Linked DNA regions of Callithrix jacchus. The protein of the gene in region 2 binds, or shares a complex with, the protein of the main gene of each other region. Links are inferred from orthologs where the notes say so. Each region holds a gene or a part of one and is shown on either strand. Other genes may lie near its edges. The genes, in order: E2F1 and TFDP1.

Region 1 (4,527 bases), on a different chromosome or scaffold from region 2:
TTTGTATTTTTAGTAGAGACAGGGTTTCTCCATGTTGGTTAGGCTGGTCTTGAACTCCGGACCTCAGGTGATCTGCCCTCCTCAGCCTCCCAAAGTGCTGGGATTACAGGTGTGAGTCACCGTGCCCCGCCATGCCTCTGGTTCTTTTATAACCTTTCTCAGTGCCTGCTCTGGGTCAGGCCAGTGTTGGGAGGAAGCGCTACTGAGCTTCTAGATTGGCAGGGGAGGCAGATGGAGAAATGTGTGGTCAGTGTTGGAACAGAGGCAGCAGTGGGCAATAGAGGAAGTGAGTAGATCCTTGGGAGGGGTCCCTAGAAGAAGTGATGTGTTTTGTTTTTGTTTTGTTTTAGAGACAGGATCTTGCTCTGTTGCCCAGGCTGGAGTGCAGTGGCATGATCATAGCTCACTGCAGCCTTCATTTCTCGGACTCAAGCAATCCTCCCACCTCAGCCTCCCAAGTAGCTGGAACTACAGATGGACACCACCACGCCTGGCTAATTTTTGTATTTTTTGTAGAGAAGGGTTTCACCATGTTGCTCAGGCTGGTCTCAAACTCCTGGGCTCAAGAGATCCACCCTGCCCGTTGATTATAGTGATTCCAGGCATGAGCCACCGCTCTGGACCAATGCTTCATCCTATTGTAAACGTCTGTTACCTCTCTGTCCCCTATCCAGTAGACTGTGAGCTCCTTAGGGCCACGAATTAAGGATGGGGGCACAGAGTTAAGGATGGGCACAGAGCAGGCTCTCCTGACGTTTGTTGAATGAGTGAGGGAATGAATTAGTTCAAGCAGACGCTTTACTTGGCCATTGTAGATTTTGGCTAAAATGGGACTTGCAGGAAAGCCCCAGGCTAATATCTGGCGGGTCGTCCCTCCTCATTTCCTGGTACCGCTCTTCAGCTTGGGCTTTGGGTGAGTGGGATAGGGCTGGGTGCAGGGTTAGGATAATGTCATGGGTGTGGTAAGTTGAGGATAGGAGAGGTGGCTGATGGCTGGGCTGTGGAACTGATGATCCCGAAAAGAAGAGGGGGCAGTTTCTGGAGATGTGGGCTGAGGTTGTGGGGGCTACAGGTTGAGGGTCGCGTGAACAGAGGCTCTGTCCTGAACCTGCACTATAGAAAGGTCAGTGGGATGCGGGAGCGTCGGGGCGGGGCCATGTTCCAGTGTCCCCACGCCTCCGGCAGGGGACGCTCGGCCTGGGGGCGGGGAGTCCGACCGCGCCTGGCACTGTCTGGACAAAGCCTGCGCGCGCCCCGCCCCGCCATTGGCCGCGCCGCCCCGCGCCGCCCCGCGCCGCCGCCCCATCCCTCCCGTCGCCGCCGGTCCGGCGCGCTATAGCCAATAGGAGCCGCTGCCGTCGACTTCGTCACGGCCCGGGCAGCCAATCGTGGCGGCGCTCGGCGGCTCGTGGCTCTTTCGCGGCAAAAAGGATTTGGCGCGTAAAAGTGGCCGGGACTTTGCAGGCAGCGGCGGCCGGGGGCGGAGCGGGATGGAGCCCTTGCTGGGGCCTGCCGCCATGGGCCCGCGCCGCCGCCGCCGCCTGTCACCCGGGCCGCGCGGGCCGTGAGCGCCATGGCTTTGGCCGGGGCCCCTGCGGGCGGCCCATGCGCGCCGGCGCTGGAGGCCCTGCTCGGGGCCGGCGCGCTGCGGCTGCTCGACTCCTCGCAGATCGTCATCATCTCCGCCGCACAGGACGCCAGCGTCCCGCCGGCCCCAGCTGGCCCCGCGGCGCCCGCCGCCGGCCCGTGCGACCCCGACCTGCTGCTCTTCGCCACTCCGCAGGCGCCCCGGCCCACACCCAGCGCGCCGCGCCCCGCGCTCGGCCGCCCGCCGGTACGGACCCCAGGGACGCCGCGCCGGCAGCACTGCCTGTGCCCCCTGAGCAGACCTGGGCGGGTGCTGTGTTTGGCCTGGAGGCGGCAGGGGGCGGGGGAGGGGTGGACTGAGGCACCCAGGCTGGGCGGTGCAGAGCCTGGCTTGTGCCTCCAGGCTCCGCCCTGGGGTGCGGGGTGACCTCGGGCCGGTCCCTGTTTGCTCCTCTGCTCTGGGCCTGAGCTTCCTCACTAAAGCCTCCCCAGCGTCGGACTCAATGATAATAATGGCCCACGTGTATTCAACTGGCGTTTATTGCACGCCAGGCCTCGGCCGACTTCAAGCCAGCTGAAACTCACAACCCTGCTGTAAGCCGTGTTGTCACTGTGCCCAGCTGACGGAGGAGGACTGAGGCCCAGAGAGGGACAGTGACTTGCCCCTGGTCACACGGCTGCAGGTGGCGGGGCTGGGATTTGAACTGCGGCCTGCTGGCTTCAGATCAGAATTTGCATCTCGGTAGTGAACACAGCTGCTAGGGGAAGTGAAGGCGGGGCGAGGAAGGTCCTGGGGCTTAACCGTTGGTGAGCCACTGAGGAGACCCTCCTTCCTGCCTCGATGCTGACTGCCAGGTGCAGGACTGGCCGGCCAGGCCTCTGGGGACAGCCCTCCTGGCTGGGAGGCCTTCTCTGCAGGGGCGGGGCAGCTGGACCAGCTGCTGATCTCCTCCCTCTGCCTGTCCTTCCATCTGCCACCCTCCACCCTCCCAGGCCCTGGTTGCCATGGAACCTCATTAATCAGACAGACAGACCCCTGAGCCTCTGTAGAAGAACTAGGTGGGCTGGGCCTCTGGGAGCTGGAGAGGAGGCCCCCAGTGCCAGGAGAGAAAATGTCCCAGGGAGATCCTTTAATAAAGCCGTCCCTGAGTGCTGAGCTCAAGACCAGTTCAGACGGGGCGGGGGGTGGGGGGGGGGTGGTGCCCAGAAGAGGTGGCTGAATTACAGTGGGAGAAGGGATTGGAGGCGTAGAAGCCTGGAGCTGGGACCTGTGGGCTGCAGTACAGGGTGTGGAGACCAGTTTGACTGGCGCAGCCTATGGGTGAAGGTGGGGCTCTGATGTGCAGGCAGGGGCTGGTCAAGCAGGATGGGGTCTCAGCAGGGAGCTTGGAGCAAGTGGGAGGGGTGAGGCAGGGCTTAGGACTAGGAGGTAGAAGCTGCCTAACTGCTGATGGGGGTGAGGGTAGCAGCTGGTCCCTGAGGCATCTAAAGGGGCTCCCCCACCCCCTTGGCCTCATGCCCAGTGCTGCCTTCCGGAATCACCACGATGCTAATAATAATAACAATAGCAGCCACCATTGTTTTGAGGATGTCTTATGTGCCAGGCTCTGCCAAGAGCTTTACCTAATTAACTCATTTAACCCCATCAGCAGCAATCCCTTTTTACAGATTGGGAAGCTGAGGCCTAGAAATACTAGAATCTTCCCATGTCATTCTGCTATTGAGCGGGGGGTTGAATCTGTATTTCCTGTGAGGTTGACCTCTGGGATGCATTGCTTTCTAGGGATGCTGATAGAGGCTGAAGAAAGGGCAGGAAGGGCTTTTGGGGGCCCTTCATCTTAATGAGTGGGTGGGAGGGGTGGGCCAGGTGGCTTGTCTCCTGTACTCCGGGGGTTTGTCCCTGTGGGTAGTGCTTGGGACCTGGGCAAGCATCCTCCATTCAGCTGTGTGACAAGCATATAGCAGGCTCAGGTCTGTGGAAACCTAACAGAACCTGAGGGTCTTGTCCTCAAGGAACTGAACAGGATTATGGATTCTAGGATCAGAAGGAGAAACGGGGCAAAGAAGAGTGCCCTCCACTCTACCTGTCAGGGGCAGGCTTATTGGCCCGGGCATTCCATTCATTCAACAGTTGTTGAGTTAGTGAATGCCTAGGAGGCACTAGGCTCAGAGAAAAGGAGCCCCACCCTCAGAGTCCTTCAGGGCCAGGAGGTGTTTTCTGTACTTAGGGGCAGGAGACTGGAGCTGAAGTCCAGAAGGTCCACAGGTTCGGCTTTTGGCCTCTCTGCACTGGCATTTGTCTGGCACAGTCCCTGGAATAAGCTACAGACTTAGCTTCTGTACCAGCAGGCATTCGTTGAACACTGTATACCAGGCTCTGTGCAATTCAGCCATTTCTCTTGGTCCTGCCTGTCCACTTCCACAAACTCAAATATTTTAAACATAATACATGTTTACTGTAGAAAACTTAACTGTTTTTTTTTTTTGGAGACAGAGTCTCATTCTGTTATGCAGGCTGGAGTACAGTGGTGTGATCAGGGCTCACTGCAACCTCCACCTCCGGAGTTCAAGATATTCTGTGCCTTGGCCTCCCAAGTAGGTGGGATTGCAGGCACATACCACCACACCCAGCTAATTTTTGTATTTTTAGTAGAGACAGGGTCTTGCCATGTTGCCTAGGCTGGTCTTGAACTCTTGAGCTCAGGCAGTCTGACTGTCTCAGCCCCTCAGAGTGCTGGGATTACAGGTGTGTGCCATCACGCCCAACTGAAAACTTAACTTTTTTTTTTTTTTTTTTTGAGAAAGAGTCTCACTCTGTCAGCCCAGGCTGGAGTGCAGTGGCGTGATGCAACCTCCACCTCCCAGGTTCAAGCGATTCTCCTGCCTTAGCCTCCCCAGTAGCTGGGATTACAGGTGCATGCCATGATGCGGCTAGTTTTT
Region 2 (4,537 bases):
TTTGTTATTGCTTTGTTTATTGTGTTTTTAATAGCTCTAGGCTGTACCTGTGCCATGGTTCAGCCTGAGATGTAAACATAAGGTCTTCTCAGGCCGTTTCTGAGCCTCTCCCTGGGCAGCCCCATAGGCACAGCTATTTTTGTACGTCCTAGTCTTCAATGTCTGGCTCCCAGAAGGAGAAGGAGAAAAATGAAGGAACAGGGGTAGGGTAGAAAGCTGAAATTGACCAAAATTAACTGCCATATGCTCCCTTGTAAGCTTTAAGCCTTTGGTAGATTCCGTAGTTACAGAACAGCTGCATCCAGCAGATCCTGCCTGGGAGTAGACGTCAGATTCCTGGCTTCCTTATTCCACCATCTTCCCAGAAGCCTCCCAATCTTATTCTTGTTCTGGAAGTCAAACTTTTACATTTTTAAGTCTCAATTTTCATCGTGAAAAAAAGCCAAGGAACTTGGCTTATCTTTCTCTGCACCACAGGCACCAAAAAAGGTGCCTCCTCCTTTCCTTATATCCAAGACCTCCACCCTTGGCCACTCTCCATCTTCAGGGTGGGCTCCCGGAAGATGTGCTTCTGACCAAAATTTGGTCGGGGGGTGTGCCCACAGGGACCACCAGGACGCACTGTGTCTGGGCCTAATAACAACCTACTTTCTCACTCAAGTATAAAGTAAGACCAACAAGACAGACAAATTTCTAGACAATAATCCTGAATTAGAGAAACACAGCTTGTTCAAAATGCCCATGCGCGTTTTATTAATAAAAACTAACAGTGCCAAGTTAAACAAGTCAAACAATTAAAGTCTCTTTATATTCCATAAAATATTACAGAAAAGTTTATTTGTGTTTCAATAAAAAGACTATCATTTCAGAACAGGCAGCTAACAGCAACTGTGCAGTTAATGGGTTTTGTGAATAAACTTTAAAAGAGACTACTGCCTGTCCTTAAATTCCTTTTCCTTTTTATAAAAAAAGAACTATTAAAAATGATTGACAAATTTTGAGTTAAAAAATTGTTAAAACATTCTCTATATTTAATTTCAATTTTATAATAGATTACAGGAAGATGCTTATGAAACAAATACAACATTTGTTTCAGTACATGTTTTTAAATGATAGACTTATAAGTATGTAAACAACTATATAATAAAAGGTTTCCAAATGCTGCCTGTAAGAAATCAGGCAAATTTTACCATAAGCAATAAACCATTCCAAGCCTTCCAGACAGTCTCCATAGCCGCACCAGCGTGGCAATAAGCCCTAACCAAACAAACAAAAGCACTTTGCAATTTGTTGCTGCAAATAGGGAGAGAAAAGAGTTGATAAGCTTGATGGAATCACAACAGTCAATATAATTTAAGGGAAAATAAAGTCAATAAGGTTGATGAAGTTTATTGTTTAGAAAGTCGAATTCTGCTGTTTGCTTGGGGCTCTGGACACAGTACCACTGACCAAATGGAACAATCCACAGAGTCCTGCTATCCACCAGCGGGGGTGCCGTCCAGACTCACGGCAAATAAATGGCACCAGGTGCTCACCATCCACCACAGGAGGGTGTTTTATTTTCATGGATGTGGATGAAATATAATTTCTTCAGCAGACTCAGCAAAAACTGTTCAGGGGCGAAACTGAACTCTGCACTTAGAGAAAACCAGAAAAATGAAAACACAAAATCCTAAAAAGTAAATAAACGCTCTGCATCAGCACACTGGTATCAAAACACACATCCACAGCACGTCCTAATCCTACGGTAAACAACCCTTGCTTATCAGAGGTGCATATCTAAATTCAATAGCTTACCAATATCTTCTTGGGAGTAGGCCAAAAGGAAACAGAAAACCCACATTAAAAAAAAAAGTTTCTTTTCCCTAAACGTTTTCCTGAAGCTGAATTTGAAGTGGGGAGGACGTCAGTCATCCTCGTCATTCTCATTGAAGTCATCGTCATCCTCGTCATCCTCCCCGACGTAGGACACTGGGGTCTCCACCCTGGAGCCACTGTACTGAGACCCGTTGGAGCTTGTGGCCAGCATCCCATCTGCACCGTTGGTCAGGTCACTGCAAGGCAGGAGGCGGATGAGGCAGTCAGTGCAGAGCAGTCCACTCGGCCTCCCCTCACCTCAGGGCCTGCGGCTGAAGGACAGGCTGCGCCGAACAGGTGTCAGTTTTGTCAGTCACACACACAGAACTGGGAGGTCATGAGTGTCTGCACTACAGCACGCCAGCACTCTGGCACTCACTCCATCCCCGTCTGGTTCTCCTCGGACCCTGTCTCCTGGAATCCACAATGCCAGAAATAGGAGGCTGAGCAGAGCCACAAGCTCCCTCTCCCTCACTCATCATTCCATCAGGAGCAGTGCCCAGAGGCAATGAACTGAAAAACTGTTAGATCCCTCCCTCCAGGACTTTCACTCATAACCAGCAACAGGAAAAAAAGAGAGCCTGGGGCAGGACAGGATGTAGTCCAGAGCACGGCTAGAATCTAGCAGCATGGACTGGGAACCCAGAGGGTTTGCAGCACCACAAAAACCTACCACTAATCACAGCTCACAATGTTCCAAGATTTAAAAATGTTTTCCAACTGCATAAAAATATATGCATATATTTTAATATATTTTAATAGTATTTATTAACTACAATGAAAATGAGTCAATATGCCTTTGATGAAGTGATTCTGTATCTTAGAAACACGTCAGAAATGGTGAGAAATTCAGCCGCAAAGCTGCTCACTGTAGTTTTCCTGATAACTGGGAACTGCCTAGATGTCCTTTCATGAGGTACTTTCATAAAATGTCCCATCATGCCACTTTGAAAATTGGTATTTCATAAGAAATGGTAGTAGCTTTGTTTCCATTGTTATGAAAAACTGACAAGTCTGAGAATCACATCCATGAAAAGGATTATCTGATGATGAAAGTCCTAAAAACACCCACATTTCACCTCATGGAAGAACCAGTGTTAAACATGTTTACAGACTGACCCCTACACATTCACACACAGCTGAAGAGAAAGAGAACCGGCCTCGGTCAAAACCTTGTTACCAGGCACTGTGACAAGTCCCTTCTTCTATCACCACTTCACTGATCCTTGCCACAGATCAACGACTCATCACCAGTCTCACCTTACAGGTGAGGCCAAGACTGGAAGAGACTGGCTTTGTAACCCCAGAGCTGGCCAGGAAGCTACATGCACCCCTGACACACTTGTCACATCTCACGGCCACAGCACATTCCAACACAGGCTCATGCGCACTGCAACTCACTACGTCGTGCCCTGTTATCTGGACCCACAGGTTACTAAGTTCTTAGATTTCCAATTAAAGATTTTATGAACACTTAGGATTAATATAAAGTAATACTACATATTGTATCACAATGCAATATAAAAGTCAATAAAATCTTTGTTTTGTTAATATCTGTTGTAAAAGCTATATTTCTCTTTGAAGCACCAAGATAAATACCTAGGGACATCATTCTACCCTATGGGATGGCAGGTCAAAGATTAAATACGAATTTATTTAAATAAAGGCCCTTTAATAGCACAGAAATAATATATATAAATACAATAAAATGTAAGGTGAAAATGCATGGAAGAAAACATGTGCGTTCTGACCACAGATGTGTTCTGAAAAGAAAGTGCACTGTGACCACAAACGTATTCTGAAAAATACATGCACTGTGACCACAAACATGTTCGGAAAATACGTGCGCTGTGACCACAGATGCATTCTGAAAAATATGTGCACTGTGACTGCTCTGAAAAATACGTGGACTGTAACTGCAGATGCGTTCTGAAAAATATGTGTGCTGTGATTACAGATGCGTTCTGAAAAATACATGCGCCATGACTACAAATGCGTTCTGAAATACAAATGCACTGTGACCGCAGACGTGTTCTGAAAAATAGGAGAAAAAAACTAGAAATACTTGCTGTTATTTGGGCTGCCCGGGACAGAAGGATTTGGGTGGTTTTCATTCCTACTTACTTTTTAGGTGATACTTTAACAAAAAAAAAAACAACCACCACGTATTACTTTTAGTTTTTAGTGAGGAGAAACCAACTAGGAAAAGCAGCTCTCCACACAGGGAAAGCCGGTGGGGCCACTGCCTGGGAAGACAAGCACGTCGGAGCAGCCTCAGACCTGATGGCCACATCTGAGACGTCCACCCTGCCTTGGCCCCTGGGCCCCACAGGAGGCCCAGACAATGCTTCTCCCACACCCTCAACCGCTGTCACCTGGCGGAGAACCTCGTGCCGTTAGATGTGGAACCTGCTGTCGTGATGAACACACCTCCAACAGTTCCCTGAGCCATTTCTGAAAAAGGAAAGAAAATGAAGCAAATGGTCACGAAACAGAAACAACACAAGACACACAGACAACCCGCAGTGCCGCAGGATGGACAGCTGGGGAAGCTTCCAGACATCCTTCACTTGTCCAGGATTTTCTGCACTGTGCCACAGAGGACATCCCGCTGTGCAGTCACATAGCCTGTCTTCCCTAAAAAGGCATGAACAGCCTTGCAATACCTGCACACACTGAC

What was found.
Region 1: the proteins of TFDP1 (region 2) and E2F1 are in contact, whole or in part, in a crystal structure (PDB 2AZE), measured with the Homo sapiens proteins. The link is inferred for Callithrix jacchus from reciprocal best matches to the Homo sapiens genes TFDP1 and E2F1. Residues at the interface, in NP_009042.1 of Homo sapiens: Glu201, Cys202, Leu205, Glu206, Glu208, Arg209, Arg212, Leu213, Arg215, Ile216, Lys219, Gln220, Gln222, Leu223, Leu226, Ile227, Gln229, Gln230, Phe233, Lys234, Leu236, Val237, Arg239, Asn240, Arg241, Glu244, Pro251, Ser255, Val256, Ile257; in NP_005216.1 of Homo sapiens: Arg202, Leu203, Leu206, Thr207, Asp209, Leu210, Leu213, Gln214, Ser216, Glu217, Leu220, Asp221, Leu223, Met224, Ile226, Cys227, Thr228, Gln230, Leu231, Leu234, Asp239, Ser240, Gln241, Arg242, Leu243, Ala244, Tyr245, Val246, Thr247, Cys248.

The regions. Positions count from the first base shown.
Region 1 is NC_133506.1:5,612,477-5,617,003, forward strand, and holds the start of E2F1 (transcription factor E2F1), read left to right. Parts: upstream 1-1,454; 5' UTR 1,455-1,573; coding exon 1,574-1,834; intron 1,835-4,527. UniProt on the Homo sapiens protein: Transcription activator that binds DNA cooperatively with DP proteins through the E2 recognition site, 5'-TTTC[CG]CGC-3' found in the promoter region of a number of genes whose products are involved in cell cycle regulation or in DNA replication.
Region 2 is NC_133502.1:29,108,443-29,112,979, reverse strand, and holds the end of TFDP1 (transcription factor Dp-1), read right to left. Parts: intron 4,312-4,537; coding exon 4,233-4,311; intron 2,055-4,232; coding exon 1,907-2,054; 3' UTR 727-1,906; downstream 1-726. UniProt on the Homo sapiens protein: Can stimulate E2F-dependent transcription.